Schizosaccharomyces pombe: one gene and its partners. Changing the gene in region 1 together with any one later gene gives a genetic interaction. Each region holds a gene or a part of one and is shown in the gene's direction. Other genes may lie near its edges.

Region 1 (4,590 bases):
ATATCCTTGAAGTTTCTTTTCCGTCAAATTCAATTATCTAGTTGATGTCTCATTGCTTTGCATATAAGAAAAAACAGAATTTGGTATTTTTTAATATAATGTCCGCGAGGCATTTGAATTAGTAAATTCACACTAAAGAGCTTGATGAACTTCCAAAGGATTTAATATTGGTTACCTTTAAAAGTTGGGTAAAAAAAAGTTCCTTATTTCTTGTTGATTGATAATATACTTTGTTCATCAATTGAAGTAGCAGACTAATCATACATGTAAATTAATACAAGACCAAAAAATAAGGGTGCGCAAGTGTAACCAAAGGTGTGCTTCCTCAATGAATCCGATAATTCTTAACCATTGCATACATACCTTACAACTTAAATACATTTAATTGACAATAATGAAAAAAATTAAATAAAAAAACAAACAAACAAAACTGCTTTTGTATTAGAGAGAAAAATAGATGTTAAGAGAAATCGAAGTTTAGCTAAATACATTTTACATCTTCTTTGCGCGTCTTCTCATTTTGCGTTGACGTTCCCTCTCCATGCGCTTTTTTTGATCAGACTCAGAAAGCTTAGAAATATCGCCAGAGGATTTAACTTTTTTCTTGGCGGCCTTAGCGGCTGAAGCATGAACAACTTGCTCAAAGGCGAGTTTACGGGCAGAGGTAAGTTTCTTCGAAACTTCTGGTCGCCATTGGAATTTTGGACAACTATCAGCTACCAGCAACAAGGAATTAAACAATGCACTTCCCGTAGCATTGCTCAAACCAGAAAGGGATGTGATTTTTTTAATTCTGATTGAAGCTTCGATACGAGGCTTCGTAACATAATCCTTTTCGGTAGCAGGAGGGACTGAAGGTTGATCAGTAACGATGAAATACTCAAGGTTTTCAATACACTCGTTAATTGAAGACATAAACTCGGGAATTTCGAAAATAGCTTGACTACACTCATTGTTCTCAGACATTAAAACATGAGTTTCCGGTAAGTAAGGAGAGGAAGAAATGCGGGTAAAGCTTAAGTCGTAACGTATTTCACGAAGAATGCGCATACAGTCTTTATGAACAATGGCGAAAACAAAACGCTCAGCCTTCAAGTTCTGGTCTGCAAGAGTTAAATCGAATTGAAAACGGTCAGCAACAGGTAAAACAGAAGACATAACGTTTCCCAGGAGGATTTCAACGATTTGATTAAGAGAGTAGGCTAACAAATCTTGACGAGGAAAAAGCTGAAGTGTTGTATACACATTCTTCACGTTGAGACGTCCAGTAAGATAGGAGCTAAACTCGGTAGGAGAGTCATAAATGATTGGAGAACTGTTAGGACCTGGTCCATATTGTGCAAACTGTTGGCGAAAGCTAGACTGTAAGGAACCATACCAGCGAGAAGCGATTTTTTGGTTTTTCTTCTTTTGCGTGATAAAAGAAAAAACATAAAGGAAAAAACAAGCAAGAATAACAAATTCAAGACGGAAATCTCTCCAATCGACATGCTTGAACATTCCTGGATTCTCCAACTCGGGATTCATATTGTAATCCTCTTCGTATTCATCTTCCTCATCAGCCAGTACTCCTTTAGCTAGTGCAAAAACTAGAAACAAAAGCTTTTTATTAATCATGGTTCCTCCGCTTGTAAATTTACTGACTTTCGTGAAAGAAAAAAGGGCACTGGTTGTACGAAGTGAGATTGAACGTGGTGAAATAAGTAACGAACGAGACAAGCCGGTTCCTAGAGTGGGAAGATTAACTAGTGTATATAGATAGTTTAAAATAAGTCGGTAACCAGAACATGTCGCGATGGTGTAGTTGGGAGCATGACAGACTGAAGATCTGTTGGTCATCGGTTCGATCCCGGTTCGTGACACTTTTTTTGACGTGGAGAAAACACTTTGTACTAGTTATATCCAACATAATTTTGAGGTTTTTTCTTTTTACTTATTTTTATTTTTCTAGTTGCTATATGTGAAGCAAAATTAGATAGCTAACGGATGCTCAAGAATATTGTACTGGCACTTCAGCTTGTTATTGCAAAAGTTACAAAAACAGTCTGCAAAGACAAACAAGCATAGAAGCTCAGTTGGTCTAAATGTATATTACTAGATCGGTTCTGTAATTATTGGTGTTTTATTAGCAATGAATGGTGCTTTCAACTGAATATATCCGACAGAGAAACTATATGGCGTTACAATTTTCAAAGGTAGTAGTTTATCTATTTGGTAAATGATAGTTGTACGAACTGCTACGCATTTACTCAAAATCTTAGTTACATTCATGCGTTCTATATAAAAGAAAGTCATTTTGTACTTGCTTGTTTACGTATACGATCGGTTAATCTCAACAAAGCAAATAAAAGGAAGCTAGTCACCCTGTTGTACTTTATACCTAGGACATATTTTTTTTTTCAAACATGTAACATACCGTTACTGAAGAATGTCATAAGCTTAACGCTAGCTAAATTAAGCTTGTATCAAAGTTGCGAGGGATATTGAGATCTATCGTTATTAGATCATTATAGATAAAAAGATATAAATGAGAAATCCTCCATACCTCAACAATAATTGTTTATTGGTAAAAAAATATTATTCCTATCCACTTTTTGGTTAAGCAGAAAATCTGGCAGAATTTTGTACATGCCGCTTTGCCTATCATTGGCTGCTAAATAAATTCCTTGAGCTCGTTTGTTCGATTATTTACTACTACCACACGATACCCTAACGTGAGATTTTCTCTACTAGCGATATCAAAACTTTCGCAAACTTTTTCCAACTCCCCTCAACACACGATTTTTATTATATAGATTTATTTATCAAGATGTCGGTGAAATACTTTGAACCTGAGGAGATTGTGGAGCACAATAATTCCAAAGACATGTACATGGTCATTAATGGAAAAGTTTACGACGTTAGTAACTTTGCTGATGATCATCCTGGAGGCTTAGATATAATGTTGGACTATGCAGGTAAATAATTCGACAAAACTTTTGTAGAAGTAAACACCATATTATGTTGGAGACTGCTATGCTCAAAAGCGATAGTATACTTTTAATCGCTATCGTTTCATTCATCAGTTCTTCACTTGTGTGCCTTCTTGATTAAAACATTGTATACGGCTTTTTAAACATGTCCACTAACTATTTGTTTTAGGCCAGGACGCCACTAAGGCCTATCAGGACATTGGACACTCTATTGCTGCAGATGAGTTACTAGAAGAGATGTATATTGGTGATTTAAAACCCGGAACTGAGGAGAGACTCAAAGAATTAAAGAAACCTCGTTCATTTGATAATGATACGCCTCCGTAAGAAAATGATTTGTGTACGATGGTTGTTTCATGCTAACAGAACAGATTGCCTCTATTAATCGCATTAATTGTCCTGCCAGCCATAGCAGTAATTGTGTTTGTTAAGCTTAACAAATAAACTTCGAAGGCTTGCCTATTTATTTTCCTAATCTTTATACCTTCTTTTGTTTTTCGCGATGTTAGTATCACTCAATATTATTATGGATAGCAATTGTTTTCAAGGCTTCTAAAGAAACAAAATAAACGTTAACTTAGAAAAATATATTTCTTAAATGTCTTCCTTCAGTAAGAGAGCTCTTAAAAACAATGAGTTCAGCTCGTAACATGTAATTAACTCATGGAGATATTAAACAAACCAAAAAAGTATAACAAAAAGATTTAGCTAATAGTAAAGAGGGAAGTATGTAATCAGAAGTGGAATATAACTAATGGAAAAATTAGTTCTATTGGGCTTATGAAGGACTTCCAGTAATATTCGGTTGGACTTTAGATAAATTGATTACCATCTTTCCTTTGATTTCTTTATCACTCAGCTTAATGTTGTTAATATCATCAATCAAAACACCTAGTTTCCTTATTATAAACTCGGTTTCCTGCTCGGTAGGTTTAGCAACATCGTATTTTGGATCTAAATTCAATGAGTCGATTTGATCTAATACCTCCCTATCGCAATCATTATGTTAATATAGTTTCTACTGTATAAAAAGAATTTATCAAAAGCTTACTCATAAATGTTGTCCCGAGGGTCTCGCTGAGGTGCTTCGGTTCTCAATCGTAAAGAAAAGACGTCAATGAATTTATTTCTATTTTCAGTTAACAAAGAAACAGATACCAAAGGCTTCATACTTTGCGACATCGTAAACCTTAGACTCCCATTCTTCCTCTTCTTCACGTTTTCGTAAACTCATGTCTGCTTCGGCAGAAGGAGGAGTCCTTTGAATTCTACGGTCCCGTTAGAAAATCCATTGAAAGAGAAACAACTAATTAGTTTTACCCATCATTATTTAATAATGGTGTTTGTTCATCAATCTATCAACTGTTAAAATCAGTAAAATATCTTTGTACGAACATCATCGGAGTTATTAAATAAAAAAGAACAACAATTCCCCATTATAAAGTAAGCCTGACTGTAGAAAGAAAAACTACTTTCAAATATATCAGCAGTTTCGATAAAAGTAGTAATCTGTTGACGTTACCTTACCGTCAACTGGCCGCGTTTTGTTAGTAACGCAAAATTCGATTCGCTTCATAAAGTCTGAATATGAAAATGGGTGCACTATATAAACTAGGAA
Region 2 (6,081 bases), on another chromosome or scaffold:
TTTGTATAACTAAAACAAGGTATTCGAATTAATATTCATCCAACTGATATCCGTGAAGAAATACTTTACTGTGGCACATTACGTTGTACTACATTAGCGTATATCTTTCACCTTACTCCTAATCTTTGACTCCGTATTTGTCAGCTACGCAGTTTAGTATCTGTTTTAAGGGTACGTAAAGCTGCGGTGAGTTTTCCTTGTGATCTATTATATTGCAATACGCAAGTAATATAAGTAGCAACTGAGTATAGGTATCGTATTAACTAGGTTATAATGTTACCTATCACTGATATGGCTTATAACTGAACTCAGGAATGAGGTTCAGTTGTTCTCAATTTATAACCATTTGAAACAGCAAGAATCATAACTGACAGTTATTCACCTTATTACAACTAATATTATATATGTCTTGATAACTTATCATGTAAAGCTGATAGAGCAAATAGAACATTATGAACATGTGGCATATAGTGATTCATAACGTAGTACATTATAGCGTAGTTTAGTATAACTGACAGTATTCAATAAGCAACTTTGCGCAGTTGTACATAGTGTACCATAAGCGGAGTTCCTTAAATTATTCAAAAAGACAGTCACAATCGAAAGCCAGGCTAAACTTTTTGTCGGCGATTTCTAGCCATCTCCAAATCACCAACATGGGAATTACCAGAGACTCACGACACAAGCGCTCTGCTACCGGTGCTAAGCGTGCTCAGTACCGCAAGAAGAGAAAATTCGAGTTGGGTCGTCAACCTTCCAACACTCGTATTGGACCTAAGCGTATTCACGAGGTCCGTGTTCGTGGTGGAAATAAGAAGTTCCGTGCCCTTCGTCTTGACTCTGGTAACTTCTCTTGGGGCTCTGAGGGTGTTTCCAAGAAGACTCGTATTATTCAAGTTGCCTATCACCCTTCTAACAACGAGTTGGTTCGTACCAACACTTTAACCAAGTCAGCTATTGTCCAAATTGATGCTGCTCCTTTCCGTGTCTGGTATGAAACCCATTACGGTATCTTGATGGGAAGCAAGGGAAAGAAGGCCACTTCAACCCCTAATCCCAAATCCAAGCATGTTCAACGTAAGCATAGCGCTCGTCTTGGCGATTCTAAGGTTGACTCCGCTTTGGAAACTCAGTTTGCTGCTGGCCGTTTGTATGCTGTTGTATCCTCTCGTCCTGGTCAATCTGGACGTTGTGATGGTTACATTCTTGAGGGAGAGGAGTTACATTTCTACCTTCGTCGTATGGCCCCCAAGAAGTAAAAAAGTTGTTTTAGTCTTCTTAATGCAAAAATGTGCCTATATACAAACTTTTTAACTTTTTGTGATTATTTATAGTACAATTGTATATGCATGGCTAGTAATACTTGTGATTCCTATGTAATTTATAATTAAAACAGCATGAACTGTAAAACTTTTTTAGTAGTCATCGTCAAAAAGCCATTTCATTGCTCATATAGACTAGCAAAGTTGTATGAGTATTACTGGGTTTGAAAAATTATATGCAAATTACTAAAAGATTTTCCAAGATTTCAGTATAAAGTATCAGAAAAAAGTACGAGCTTTTCAAGTCCTTACTGATTTAATTAATAGAGACTTTTATGACTGAGACCCTCTTTTCTAAAGTCATTATTTCTATGATTTCAGCAAGTTGTTTTGTTAATGTCCTTATCGCGTTTTCGTAAATTTTAAAACCTGGCAAAGAATATCAAAAATTATAAGTCATTTTCTCTTAAAATTATAAAACTTAAATTGGACAACTAATAAAAAATTTACTTTAAATTTGTTTACGTATGGGGTATGCGTATACCTCTCTGACTAAACCTGCTCTACTTGCCATTTACCAAGTACAGGTATAAACGAAGGTAAAAAAAATGGATGGAGACGAAGCTAGTTTAGTAGCCAACTTCTGCGCAATAACTAATTCAACACCTGAAAAAGCTCAAGAGTACTTGAGCGTTGCAGATGGCGATTTATCGACTGCAATCACATTGTTCTTTGAAAGTGGAGGCGTTACCGATGTGCAATCGAGCTATATAGAAGCACCGAGTCAGACTGAGCCTGTAGAAGAAATTCGTGCGCCTATTGCACCTACCAGAGAGGTTTTGGTAGACCCGTTAGCTGATATGTCAGCAGGAACTTCTATTATGGGCAACAACTTTGGATTCGGGGGATTTCCAAGAATGAATCGAAGACAAAGAAGGCGTATGGGTATTTTTGATCAATCTCCCTCTCAAATCCCTTTTCCATCAAGTAATACAGAAGACTCGTCAGAAGAGTCTGACAGTTCAAGTAGAGCGTCACGCCTTGCAAAATTGTTTCGACCGCCGTATGATATAATTTCCAATCTCAGCCTTGATGAAGCTCGAATAGAAGCATCTTCTCAGAAGCGGTGGATCCTTGTCAATTTACAGACATCAACGTCGTTTGAATGTCAGGTACTTAACCGTGATTTATGGAAAGACGAGTCAGTAAAAGAGGTGATTCGTGCACACTTTTTATTTCTTCAGCTTTTGGATGACGAAGAGCCTGGCATGGAGTTTAAAAGGTTTTACCCCGTTCGTTCTACGCCTCACATTGCTATCCTTGATCCAAGGACCGGAGAGCGCGTTAAGGAATGGAGCAAGTCGTTTACGCCAGCTGATTTTGTCATTGCTCTGAACGATTTTCTAGAAGGGTGTACCTTGGATGAAACCAGTGGTCGTAAAAACCCTTTGGGAGCAAAATCACAAAAGCCAGTCGAAGCGATGTCTGAAGATGAGCAAATGCACAAAGCAATTGCAGCTTCCCTAGGAAATGGAAACTCGACAACTGAATCTCAAGGCGAAAGCTCTTCACAGCAAGCAGAAAGTCATGGGGTGGCCGATGATACTGTTCATAAAATCGATTCAGCTGAATGTGATGCCGAAGAACCATCTCCAGGACCCAATGTCACAAGAATCCAAATTCGTATGCCCAATGGAGCACGTTTCATTCGTAGGTTTTCTTTGACCGACCCAGTAAGTAAAGTGTATGCGTATGTGAAAGGAGTTGCCGAAGGTGCAGATAAGCAACCGTTTTCTCTTACATTTCAGAGAAAAAGTCTTTGGACGTCTTTGGATTCTACTATCAAGGAAGCAGGGATCCAAAACACAGCTTTGCAATTTGAATTCCAATGATAAAAAGTTTGATGAGTGTTTTGCTTGCTTTTCTATCCCAAAAATAGATATTTTCCTTGTGGTTAAGTATAATGAGATACATCCTAATGAAATTCCACCGTTTATTTATTCATTACATAAAAAATGCTTTGGCATGCCAGTTAAGTAATAAACCATATATTAGCTGTAGAATTGACTAAACGTATATTTATATTACGCATCTACGAATACTACTAGTGCACGAAGTGATAAGTCCTTTAAAATATCCAGATAAATATTAATTGTTTAATATTTAAGTGCACTTTTTCTGTAGAAAGATCTCATACTCAAGATACAGACTCAAATATCCCTGTAAACATATCAGCCTTCGCGGATACCGACTTTACACGGAGCCATATGGCTGTTCCATATACGAAGTTCCAGGTAAACTAACACTATCAATCCTTTTTCTTTGTAGAATTCAATTGTATTTATTAATATATAATATGGAAAAACATCAATACCGGGATTTACAACTTATTGGACAAGGAAGTTTTGGATCAGTCTTTCGAGCTCAAGATGTTGAATCATCCAAGATTGTAGCACTTAAAGTTGTAGATTTAGATGCTACAAAGGACCAGATTGAGACTTTGACCCAAGAAATTAACTTTCTGATCGATCTGAATTCGGTTCACATTACGAAATATTATGCATCATTCGTTGATGGATTTCGATTGTGGATAACTATGGAATATTGCGATGGAGGAAGTTGTTTAGACCTTTTGAAGCTTTCAGGAACGTTCAGTGAACGTGTTATCGCCGAAGTTATGAGGCAGGTATTAGAGGCCCTTGTTTATCTACATGGTCAAGGTAAAATGCATCGTGATATTAAAGCTGCCAACATTTTAACTATGAAAGATGGACTAGTTAAGCTTGCTGACTTTGGCGTATCAGGTCAGTTGGAGAGCTTGCGTGACAAAAATGATGACTTCGTTGGTACGCCTTTTTGGATGGCTCCTGAAGTTGTAAAGCAGACAGGATACAATTACAAAGCGGATATTTGGTCATTGGGAATTACGGCTTACGAATTGGCTACTGGGGAGCCTCCATATTCTGGCATACATCCGATGAAAGTTCTTTTACTAATACCAAAGCATTCCCCTCCGTCATTAGAAAGAAGTAAGTTTTCACGTGCATTCTGCGATTTTGTTAGCAACTGTTTGAAAAAGAACCCAAAGGATAGAGCTACCGCTGAATATTTGTCGAAACACAAGTTCATCAAAAAGTATTGTCCCAACACATCTGTGAAGGAAGTTGTAGCTTCTTATGCGAAATGGAAAGAATCCGAGCTATTACCGGAAGCTACCCCCTATAATAGTACCATGGGTAATTCTGCAAACACCATTGATGAAGTTGTTTGGGATTTTGGAACAGTTCGGCGATAAGCAAACGTTCACTTTTTTTCTTGTCTTTTTTGATCGCCTTGTATTGCTATCTTACATCAGTTAAAAAATACGGTTTGGAAGCAATGTATTTATACAAGTTTTTATTAACAAAAATTCTCATGTTAAGGCTTCTTACCCATTGAGCCGACTGGCTTTTTTTTCCGAGTTTAACAACTACTGTTCATATGTTTTTTCTTCTCTTAGACCTTGATTTAATACATTCAATATCGATTTGTGATAGCATCGCAGCCCTATATATGACAGATTAACCTAATATTCGTTTGATTGCGACGAGTACCAAGATATAGAAGACGCACATCTTTTTATCCCTTCTGTACTTGATATGGTTTGGGACTTTAAGCAATCGTTTTATATTTGATATCCTGATTTCTTTTATATCTTCGTTCCGACTAGTCTCAATATTAGGACAATACAACACCTGCTATGAGCTTTTACTAAGTGATGGAGTTACAGAGGTTAACAGTATTGGAAAACATATATTTATGCAATCTCCCGTAATTCCTTCATCCTGTCATGATACCGCTGATGTTTACCTGAGTGTCTCCAAATCGACTGTACAACTTTATGAGTTACTGCCATAAGTTGTAGCTGTTTTTACTTTACAATTCCATTATATCAACCATTTCTATATCTGGATAGCCCGAATCAGGTAGGAATTGAAACCTTTGAAAATATAGTATGCAAAATCAGATTTAAAAAAATACCGTTTTGTCATGATTGATAGCTTTTTGTCAACCCAATAATCAAGAATACTAAATCTGTAACCCTAATTTCCAGTTACGAAAGAACATGTGCAAGTTATACAAGGTATATTGTTTATTTACTGTAAACTTTGCTGTGTGGAAATGAGCTGGTGTTCTTTGATCATATAGAGAATAGGATAAATAGATTTGGATTCTAGTTGATCAAATGCAAAGAGATTGCAAAATTTATAAATTGATTAGAAGCATATTGAATTAAATCACAGTAACTAATTCCCATAAGACTGAATGAATTTGTCCGCAATTTGAGATAATAACATGCATATAGGTTGAAAAAGCATGTAGTTATATAATAGCTGAGTTTTTGGTTTCTTTAGCAGTATAATAGAGAAAAAATAAGTAATGAACTTATCCAAGTCTGAAATTCTGCACTGGATCAGGAAGCCAGTTGGTCAATCAATCGAAACTGATTATTCAATAACAGCACAATTTCTATAATTTATTTCATCTCAAAAAATGAAGCATTCGCAAGAAAAACTTGTAATAATTATCGTTATTTATAAAAATACCAAATAAGCTGTGCAAGCGCTTAGAAAAGTACATGGAAATATTAAAGGTAAATAAGGAACGGCTGAACGGAAAAAAACTTGTAAATTTATGCATTTACAGTTGTATGAAAAACAAAAAGAATTGTTTATAATTAAGAAAAATCACTAGCTTTTCCACCAATTAACAATCCAACGATCAATCCAAATAATCCCAAGACACTTCCGAAAATTTCGACAACAAGAACTTTTACGAA
Region 3 (4,819 bases), on another chromosome or scaffold:
AAAGTGGAAAGGGGATTGGTAAATGCGTTTTGATCAGCAAATGAAGAAACGGGAGCTTGTAAAGGGGTATTGTTAATAGAGCTGCTAGCTTCAGAAGTCGGGATAGCAGTCTGTCCAACCAAAACTTGATGTTGTCTTGCAGATTGATCAGGTAGTAACTTGGAGGAAGCTGAACCTTGGAGAATTGAGGAAGAAGAAACATTATCCTTGGAGGCTGAAGCAACAGAAGACTTTTGCTCAAAGAGCTCTCGTTGAGACGAAGTTTTTTCTTGAGTTTCCTTTGAATGATCAGGTAGGGTTAGGAGTTTCTGCAAGTCGAGATAAGCAAGATCAATTGAAGCAGGATTAGCAGAAGAAAAATTTCCAGTTGCATTCAAAGGGGCAGAAAAGGTATTGCTAACTTCTTCCTCTTTAACTTGCTGCAAAGTCGAAATTTTTTCGGGATTCTGTTGCTGCACGTTCTTTTCCTGCTTATTGGAATTGGAAGAACCTGAAGGTTGAGAAACAAATCCATAATAGCCTTCTGAAAGCATACTAGAAGGCTCTAAATCTAAAAAGTATGGATTTGTGAATACATTTAATTGCTCTGCGAGATCATCCTTTGAAAAATCGTCAGAGACAGGAACATCATCGAACTTAAGATTCAAGTGATTGATAGCGCTATTAGGAGTAAAATCCATTTGTCAAAAGCTTTATCTTGAGACTCTTGGTCTCTTAAAATTAACTGAAAATCAATTGTTAGCATGGAATTTCGCTAAAAAACTGAACTCTCCAACAATAAGCTTACCTAAGACTTAACGGCAAAATTATCGTTACTAATCAAATTATATCTCACAAAGGTAAAAAAAACACACTCAACCGTTCGCAATAAACGAGCTAAACCACCAAATTTAGTGACTCGATGAATGGCGACGCTACGTTGGTAATCGTAGAAAATTTGATGACTGAGCCAGCACGTCTGCGATCGGGATCATGCAGCGTTGAGATAATAATGAGATTACAATCTCCGCGTTAAAAATCTGATGTAGTGTAGCTGTACGTAGATCCTCATAAAACTATCCTATATTAAGATAGTGCACCGTTAATTATTATAGAAGTTGTTACCGTAGTAGTTTAAACCTGCTAGAAAAACGTTATTATATAAGTCACTAACAAATTGCTATTTAGGAAAAAAATCCTAAAGAAATCAGTCGTATGCTATTAATGAGAGTTAAAAAGCAGTCTTAAGTTCTTGCTTTTTGTGTAAATGATCGGAAGTTTTATCTTATATTGAAAATTCTAAAGCCATTAGAATATTCGCTCATTTTATATATCAATGGCCCAGTTGTAATAGTCAGTCGAATAGTTAATTGAATAAACTACTTTAGATCTACATGCGCAATAAGTTTTAAGTTTGGGGTTTTTACTGAACATTTTTCATCCCCAACAACGGTTCATATATTGAAACAATAGTGCGTCAGACAATTCGCAATTTTTTTTTTCTAAAAACAGTATATTCTCTACTTTTCAGTCAGTTAATATATTCCGGAACAAAGTCATATTCTTCTTAAAACTTATTCATACTAGTGCTGCTTGTGTAAAAAAAGAATCAAATACAAAACATGTTACTTGACAGATCCTCTATAATAGAATATGGAAACGAAATAGAAATGAGAATGATTGAAGTTCAAGCTTAAAGTCAGTAATAGATTTGCTTTTTGCATAAGAAAAAAATCAGTGGAAAACGCTTTGAAATCCTTAAAGCATTTTTTGTATTTGCGTAAGACATTGTCTGCTATATGCTTTCAGAGGAGTTTTAGAAATCCAATAGCAGAAATTCATCATTAATGTTAAAGGTAGCTGAATACAAATTAAACAGCGTTAAAATCAAAATCCGATAAACCTTCACGTTCATTCCGTGGTTACATTTGTAGTTCATTTTTGTCAACCATCGCCGTTCTATATACTTGCTAACTATAGTACAATGTGTGCCATCAAAACTTTGAAAATTTAATCCTAATAGTTTAAAACAAATGTTACAGTTTAAGTATTTCAATGTCCAAGACTTCAAATATGGAGTTTTACCTAACTTGCATAGAAACTCGGTATTATAATAAAAGACAATGACGGATTCGGGGTATTAAATGAAGACTTCAGCTGTATAAAAGCTTTTCTGTTATATATCTTAAATTTTGTGGATTCCAAATTAGCTTTCAAATACAAACTGTGCCATTTTACACAACCTCGATCATTCATAAAACAATAATAAACTTGCTCACTTACAAACAAGTCTTAAGAATTGATTTAAGTCAATGTCTGATTGCAAACATATTAACAATCTGTGATAAATTTCTTTTGCCATGTATTTCTAACTTTAGGTTGATGAGTTCAAACCTCCTATGAATCGACGTATATCGTTGTTGATATTTCACATAAACTTGGACTCGCCAATCTTTGTTCATATTTTAATGCTTATTTATTCAGATAATTCCCAGGTGACTAGCAGTTTGAACTAAGCAAGACGTTGTCAACGACTTCAAACATCGCAAGCTTATGGAATAAAAGAAAAAAAATTACATGTTTCTACTCGTAAGTGAAATAAAAATTCCCGGACTCCCATTTACCAATCCTTCGTTTTTTGTATTACCATATACTATCTTTCACGTTTGCATCTAGCATCTAAAACTGTTCACTTCTAAAAACAATTCATTTTAAGAGAAATAATCATTTTTTCTTATTTGAATAAACTCAATTCTTACTGCCTCGTTTCCTTGTTTTTGCAAAAAAAAAAAACATAATCATTGCTATAGGTTTACAACTTCATATCCGTTTCTTTATGTCAATTTATTCTTTTTTACAGAATGGCTACTGTGAAACTTAGTTTTTTACAGCACATCTGTAAGTTAACTGGATTGTCAAGAAGTGGAAGAAAGGATGAGTTGCTTCGAAGAATTGTTGACTCTCCTATTTATCCCACCTCTCGGGTACTTGGTATTGACTTGGGAATCAAAAATTTCTCTTACTGCTTTGCAAGTCAAAATGAAGATTCTAAAGTTATTATCCACAATTGGTCTGTTGAAAATCTAACTGAAAAAAATGGGCTTGATATACAATGGACCGAAGACTTCCAGCCTAGCTCCATGGCTGATCTTTCAATACAACTGTTTAATACATTACACGAAAAATTCAATCCGCATGTCATTCTTATGGAACGCCAGCGTTATCGTTCCGGTATTGCTACGATTCCAGAGTGGACGCTACGAGTAAATATGCTTGAAAGCATGCTGTATGCGTTACACTACGCAGAAAAAAGAAATTCAATCGAACAGAAAATACAATATCCTTTCCTTCTTTCTCTGTCCCCAAAATCTACATACTCGTATTGGGCATCAGTTTTGAATACGAAAGCATCTTTTTCAAAGAAGAAGAGTAGAGTACAAATGGTCAAGGAATTAATAGATGGTCAAAAAATCCTATTTGAAAATGAAGAAGCTCTGTATAAATGGAACAACGGTTCTAGGGTTGAATTTAAAAAGGACGATATGGCAGATTCTGCTTTGATTGCAAGCGGTTGGATGAGATGGCAAGCCCAACTGAAGCATTATAGAAACTTTTGCAAACAGTTTCTGAAACAATAGAAATGAACGATTGCCGTACGAATGTTTAGCCAATTTGTATATTGTAGTTTTATTCAAAGAAAAACTATCGTATATTGCATTTCATGATCCTATAAAAAAGGAAGAAATTAAACTAAATTCATAAAATTAATAATGATAACAAAAGGAATGCAGGCACATGTATCAAAGATCTTCTTTGAGCATTATTCTAAACTTCAACGATGAAAAATAACAAAACATAAAGAACATGAAATGAATTTTTTAAAAAAAATAAGAATGATGACAAACAAAAAAAGGTAATAAGGCCTTAAAAATAGCAACCCGACCTTGCTCATTTCAAAAACCCAAGTTTATATCCTCTATATTTCATGCATACAAAAGCACCAATAACAGCACCGAAAAATGAAATTTTTTATAATAAATTTGTATGAAACGGCTTTGAAGACGTAAAGAAAAAAGTAGAACTTGCAGTGAAGCCACAAAAGTCATAAGAGGACCATGATAGCGTCTGAGATCCTTTAAAAAAAACATAAAAAAACGCAACTCGTGATTGTTTAGTTCCCCAACAGAGTAAACCCTGGATAACACGCATTTACACAAGATTTAATCCCTAAAGTAAAGAAAGACGAGAAAAAATTAGTAGTATAAACACGTGGAAAACACACACACCTTTTGGAAATTGGTACATGATAGCTTTCAGGGAAAATTTAATATAATAAGCAATAGACCGTTTATACAAGGAAGAAAAGTAAACGAACCTAAGGTATAACGAATCATAAACTGTTAACTATAAAAGGTTTTCATTAAATGAAAGTAAGCAAAGGAAACTCAAAAAGAGTAGCGATATATGATAAAAAGGTTATATTAAGCAAATTGTTAATTATTGATCTTCGTTTGGAGGCACCGAAGAGTGTGAAGGTAAGGCTTCATTACCTGGGGTATCATTGCGCATGTTAGGAACAGAATGATGCTCTGCATGAGCAAAGGACCTTCCATGGAAATGTCGCTCTCTTCTCGGTCTTGAATCAACGTTGTATCTTTCTTTGCGGTAATTTCCGGGAGAATGTTCTCGTTGAGGCCTAGATGGACGATAAGAGTTTCGATATCTATTAGAATCGCGGTCACGATAATTATTTCTACGATATCCCCCATCTTTATTGTTGCTTGGAAAATCCCTGGAATTTCTTCTTCTATCATAGCCCATATATTTTCCTGGAGTTGGA
Region 4 (5,474 bases), on another chromosome or scaffold:
GGATTGAGGATTGTGGAAAAGGTTACGCTATGATACAGATTTTTGACTCCATATATCAAGACATACCACTAAAAAAGGTGAATTTTGAATGCAATAATGAGTATCAATATATAAACAATTGGAAAGTTCTTCAACAGGTATTCTTGAAGAAGGGTATCGATAAAGTTGTAGACCCTGAGAGACTATCGCGTTGTAAAATGCAAGATAATCTGGAGTTCGTTCAATGGGCCAAACGTTTTTGGGATCAATATTATCCTGGGGGCGATTATGATGCGCTGGCACGCCGGGGGAATAGAGGACCTGCTAACACTCGTGTTATGAATTCCTCTGCAGGAGCAACTGGCCCTTCTCGTCGCCGTCAGGTTTCTTCTGGTAGTTCTACACCTTCAATGACTAAGTCATCAGCAAACAACAATAACGTGTCTTCGACTGCAAATACTGCGGCAGTGTTAAGGGCAAAGCAAGCACAACAACAAATCACTAGTCTTGAAACACAGTTGTACGAAGTTAATGAGACGATGTTTGGTTTGGAGAGAGAACGTGATTTCTATTTTAACAAGCTTCGAGAAATTGAAATACTTGTACAAACTCATTTGACCACTTCTCCTATGTCAATGGAAAATATGTTGGAGCGTATTCAAGCAATACTTTATTCTACTGAGGATGGTTTTGAGTTACCACCTGATCAACCCGCAGATTTAACTACCGCCCTTACGGACCATGATACTAACAACGTCGCTGAAGAGGCTCAAATGACTGACCTAAAAGACTCAGAAACTCAACGCGTTCCCTCTGCACCAGATTTCGTACATGCTAGGCTACAAAGTTTAGAGGTTGATGACGATGAGAATATCACGTTTTAAAAAGTACTAAGTTAAAGTTTTTTTTTGTTGCAAATTCTTCATTTTTCACTGTAACAACGTAAATAAAGGAAACCGAAATATTTATTTTTATAGGGAGTTCTTCTTATTCCTTATTGTTTATTTAACCTGATCGAATGTTGCGTGCCTCATGACCTCCAAATTCATTTAATTTCGTTCTTTTTCCTTAACATATAGCATTCTGTATACTACAAATGCTAATTGTAATAAACTTTAATCCTTAGTGTTTGAGCCGTCTAATTATCCCAAATAGGATATTTTTCTTATTTCTTTAAAAAAGCTTCAAGGATAATTTAAATTTATCCTGCTTCTACGTTTCAGTGATTACGAACCAAACTTTTTTATAATTAAATGTTGAAAAGTATGAATGGATGTTTCAGAATTTTATTCAATGATGCTGAAATATCTACTCGATTTAAAAAAAATTTGCATCCGATTTTAAAATCGCCTTTTTCATATATGAGCAAAATAAAGAGTAAAATATTTACTTTCAATGATCTGATTATGTTAAAACGTTTCAACTGCGTACGTCTCAGCGATGTAGAAGTTTAATTACTTATCCTTATCTTATATATATATATTGTTGACTTTATAAACCGTAGGTGTTTATGCTTGTCATTTTTACTAGCAATAGTAAAGTATGTAAAATTTTGAGGTACCTTTGTTAGTTTATTTTTTTTACTCGAACTATATCAACTTTAAATAGCAAATTTTTAAATCAAGCTTAAAGTTATGCAATTCAGCTACACGTCGTTAATAATAAATAAAACTCTTTCATTCACAATTCTTTAAATTTGCAAAGCAAAAATCTCAATAATGAAATTCAAAGCACCAAGTTTCCCCCCCCCCGCCGGGGGGTTTGATCAATTTGTCTTATCTGATCTGATAACACCAATGTTACGTCTTTCACACAAAGAATTAAATTCGATCCACATTAGTATAATATGCGAAGTATACCACTAGTTTTTATTATAAAACTTCTGTTTTCTATATAGGTTTTTATTCACCTAATTCTCAGGCCGGTATGAGTAAGTAACCATGTGATGTATAATTATGCAATGTTGATAACCGGCAAATTGAGCTTGCAGTCAGCCAACATCACCATCAACGAACTGTATATGGGTACTACTACTTAATCAAACTAAATGCTTCAATTTTCATTTCAAAATTGCAAAACGCATACATGCTATATGAATACCAGCGTGAATGAGCACTTGGATCAAGATGAATCGTTTTTAAGAATACTAATCGATACTCGCAAAAAAATAAGAAGCTCATATTTCAAGCCTCAAACATTTGATGAATTTGTGCATTGTTTAGCAAGAGTAAGAGCCATGAAGCGATTGGTTTCGATCTGTTCTAATTTTGATGAAGAAGACAATTGGAATGGTGTCTGGAATACGTTGGTTGTTGATGGAGATTCGCATGCTTCAGCAATGATTGATTATGAAGGTCTACTTGATAAATGCTCACTAAGTAGAAATCTTCTAGAATTGATTAATGATTATGCCGAGTATACTACCCAAGTCCTGCCTTTCAGAAAAATACCAAGTAGCGATAATCTTGACTCTTCATTAAATTTAACTGTTGCTTCACCTAAGTCAAATTTATATTATAGATACTCATCTGAGAGTCCTAAGTATGCAAAAATTTTGGATTGTCCGGATGAAATTTTACAGCTGATTTTTTCATATTGCTATGATGCTTCATACATAGAGAAGTTACCCTTTGCATTTTCATATAGAAAACAACGACATACCCTTATCCATGACCTCCCCAATACATGTTTACGTTTTAAAAAGATTCTCAGCCCTCGAAATGTTTCATTTTGGAAACGATTACTTAAGGTGCATAAAAAAAATCCAAATTCGGCTGTAACTTGCTCTGAGTCTATAAACACAAGTGCTGTGGCCAAATTTACCGATATCCCTACAATCATTCCAATTTTTCTTGATCCAAGTTATCAAAGTTATGCAGCAAAGACAATTCATTCTGATACTTCTTCGTTAGCCTCCTCGATCATCCAAACAGGAGATGGAACACAGTCATGCGATGAGTCTACATATATAGAGCTAGCATGCAATCTTGTAGGCCGTTGTGTGCTTTGCAATAGAATACCGAAGTTAACTAAGTTTAAAGATTGCATTACCTCATTTTACCGGCCTTCTGTTGCTACCAATATATGTGATCAATGCTTAGAAGCAATCATTGACTTTTATGAACCTGTAAGTAGATACAAATTTGATGTTATGAAAGATCGTTTAGGGGTGGGATATATAAGCAGGCCTGGTCAAAAATTCCCCTCTTGGTTATCGGAGCATGTTCAATTGGCTAGGGATGAAGAGAAAGCGTTCAAGAGTATTTACCATTCTCAAGGTGAATTTGCAAGAAGTTTATTTCGTTTGTTTCGAGCGCAGTTGGCTGAGTTATGTGAACAATAAAATTTTGGATTAATATACTACGATTTTATGTAATAGACAAATTCGATGTCAAATTTGTATGAAAGTAAAATTGAAGTTAATAAATTTTTTTTTGTCTATGACAACTGTTACATTTATCGTTCACCCGTTTTCAATTACAGTTCATTTTTGAAAAGCAGAGTAAGCAATGCAAGGAAAAAATAATATTAATTAGGCAAATGACCCAGAACCCTTTTGTAAATATTGTTATACAGATACCATGAGAGATTAAGAAGTAGAGAAGTTGTTAATAAGTCAGAGCATTAACATTTACTGTACAAACACATAAGGTAAATTAAGTTACTCAAAAAATACGAAAACGCCAAAACCCATTTCGTAAATGAAATTGATAGTGAGTTGTCATATAAAACCAAAAGTTCCATTAAATAATGGCACTAAAAAAAACAAATCATCCAAATGGACCAAGGAATTTCTATCATTTATAGAATTCCCATATTCCAAATTTTTTTATTTCAAGCTCGTGAATTGAAAATAATAGGAAAAAAATGCCACTACAACAGTAAAAATAAACTGAAACAAAAAGGATTTAATCTATCAACATCCATCTTTTAGCGGTGACGAGAAAACAGGAGAGAAATGAGGTGGTGCATCTCAGGCTTCAGTACAAATATCCTTAAGGATCCGAAGCAAAAATGAATTCAGAAGTGTGCGAAAAAATAAGGACGAAGAGAAGGATGTAAAATTATGCTTTCTATATAACTAAATGCGCAGATCGCTCAAGGGATTTGTAAGAATATGACCACTTGCCAAATTTGAATAAATCGGACAAGAAAAAGAAAAAATATCTTCATACCACGACAAAGGGTTATAAATAGCAAGCACTTATGCCTCAATTACAGGAGAGGTGCAATTGACGGCGATGTGGCCTGGTTGATTACACTTGTAACAAAGTTGACCATCTGAAGCTTGTTGACATTCAAAGCTGCGGTGTCCAATCTTACCACAAGAGTAGCATTTCACGCCCATAGTGCAATCACGGGCTTGATGGCCATAAGAGCCACAAGCATAGCAATTCATGTTGGAGCGATGACCACCAAATCGTCCGCCACTTTGTTGACCATTTGTACGACAGTCTCTAGCAATGTGACCAACACGACCACACTTGTAACATTCCGCACCTTGACGGGGGTTAGGGCTGCTGGGGCAATCACGAACGAGATGTCCGGCGGTACCACAAGCATAGCAAGTTTTTTCCTGTTGAGGCTCAGTGCATTCGCTAGCCTTGTGACCGGTCTGATTGCAATTGTAGCAGATTGAACCCTTGGTGCACTCACGAGCTTGATGACCGTTTTCACCACAGTTATAGCATCGAGGACCGGGACGAGTGGTTTGAGGAACGGTGGGAACAGATTCAGACTCCATCTTAACAACTCCTTTACAATTAAAAAAAATTATTAAAGAAAATTAAGAAAAATAAAAAAAAACAGAAAAAATGTACTTTTTCTCGCTAACCTGACTACACTTCCTTAATAAATAGGAGCGTGTGACTGTCTAAATTTTTCTTAAGTAACAAGCACATGGTGGCACTTGGAAGTAACGAATTTGACAAGCGACTATTTTGGTCTTAAAGATGTCAATAAATAAGAATTTAGTTGTTTTAGACCGACGGAAGAAGCACAACAACTTGCCAATTAAAAAGAGTCATGGAATCGAAGAATTGTTACCGCATACTTGCTTTTTTTTGTGATAGAGAGTGTAATATCTTACATAACTAGTAAGCTCACTCTTTCCCATAAACTCAGGACTTTTTGGTTCTGACAATAGCTTTATATCATAGCAATTATTGCCTCCTCATTGTAATGTAGATTGGTATTCCAAGCGAATATAACCAAACGCTTAGTTACTTTGAATCGTGGTAAATAAGCATCGTTATTTTTCATGGCAAAAAATCGTAGAAACATTGCATTCACAGTATAGCGCCTGAAGAATTGAGTTCAGTCATTTGCAATATATATATTACTGGAATCTATAGTTGTACATATTTTAGGTATCCAGAGTACCACGTGCTTGAATTCAAACAAATCAAAATAAATCCAAAAATTGTTTTGGTAAAAAATAATGCTTTGGCCGGGAATCGAACCCGGGTCGAATCGATGGCAACGATTCATTATAC

Evidence for each region.
Region 2: mutations in cyb502 (region 1) and ppk11 together harm fitness more than expected from each alone (negative genetic interaction), as found in Schizosaccharomyces pombe (one large-scale study listed by BioGRID).
Region 3: mutations in cyb502 (region 1) and cce1 together harm fitness more than expected from each alone (negative genetic interaction), as found in Schizosaccharomyces pombe (one large-scale study listed by BioGRID).
Region 4: mutations in cyb502 (region 1) and pof14 together harm fitness more than expected from each alone (negative genetic interaction), as found in Schizosaccharomyces pombe (one large-scale study listed by BioGRID).

Annotation. Positions count from the first base shown.
Region 1 is NC_003423.3:2,573,648-2,578,237, reverse strand, and holds cyb502 (cytochrome b5), read left to right. Parts: upstream 1-2,772; 5' UTR 2,773-2,809; coding exon 2,810-2,957; exon of another isoform or gene 2,958-3,141; coding exon 3,142-3,295; exon of another isoform or gene 3,296-3,343; coding exon 3,344-3,416; 3' UTR 3,417-3,575; downstream 3,576-4,590. Other genes in the region: SPOM_SPBC2G5.01 (Ca(2+) binding protein), read right to left, coding at 493-1,617; Ragulator-Rag complex subunit Lam1, read right to left, coding at 3,751-3,961, 4,024-4,101, 4,145-4,240, 4,293-4,327, 4,368-4,409.
Region 2 is NC_003424.3:4,281,991-4,288,071, reverse strand, and holds ppk11 (PAK-like kinase Ppk11), read left to right. Parts: upstream 1-3,517; 5' UTR 3,518-3,618; coding exon 3,619-4,557; 3' UTR 4,558-5,581; downstream 5,582-6,081. Other genes in the region: rps801 (40S ribosomal protein eS8), read left to right, coding at 657-1,259; UBX domain protein Ubx2, read left to right, coding at 1,871-3,154; vma16 (V-type ATPase V0 subunit c''), read right to left, coding at 5,980-6,081.
Region 3 is NC_003424.3:4,295,927-4,300,745, reverse strand, and holds cce1 (cruciform cutting endonuclease Cce1), read left to right. Parts: upstream 1-2,840; coding exon 2,841-3,617; 3' UTR 3,618-3,810; downstream 3,811-4,819. Other genes in the region: DNA-binding transcription factor Zip1, read right to left, coding at 1-680; SPOM_SPAC25G10.01 (mRNA splicing or mRNA surveillance facor), read right to left, coding at 4,477-4,819. UniProt on the Schizosaccharomyces pombe protein: Capable of resolving Holliday junctions. Specific for 4-way junctions. Seems to be important for the maintenance of mitochondrial DNA. Cleaves fixed junctions at the point of strand exchange. Cleaves after 5'-CT-3' and 5'-TT-3' sequences.
Region 4 is NC_003424.3:2,243,760-2,249,233, forward strand, and holds pof14 (F-box protein Pof14), read left to right. Parts: upstream 1-1,975; 5' UTR 1,976-2,026; coding exon 2,027-3,322; 3' UTR 3,323-3,369; downstream 3,370-5,474. Other genes in the region: microtubule plus-end binding protein, EB1 family Mal3, read left to right, coding at 1-863; byr3 (translational activator, zf-CCHC type zinc finger protein), read right to left, coding at 4,184-4,723. UniProt on the Schizosaccharomyces pombe protein: Expression is induced during oxidative stress. Plays an essential, SCF-independent, role in the stress response to hydrogen peroxide for survival, by negatively regulating ergosterol synthesis via direct binding to the squalene synthase erg9.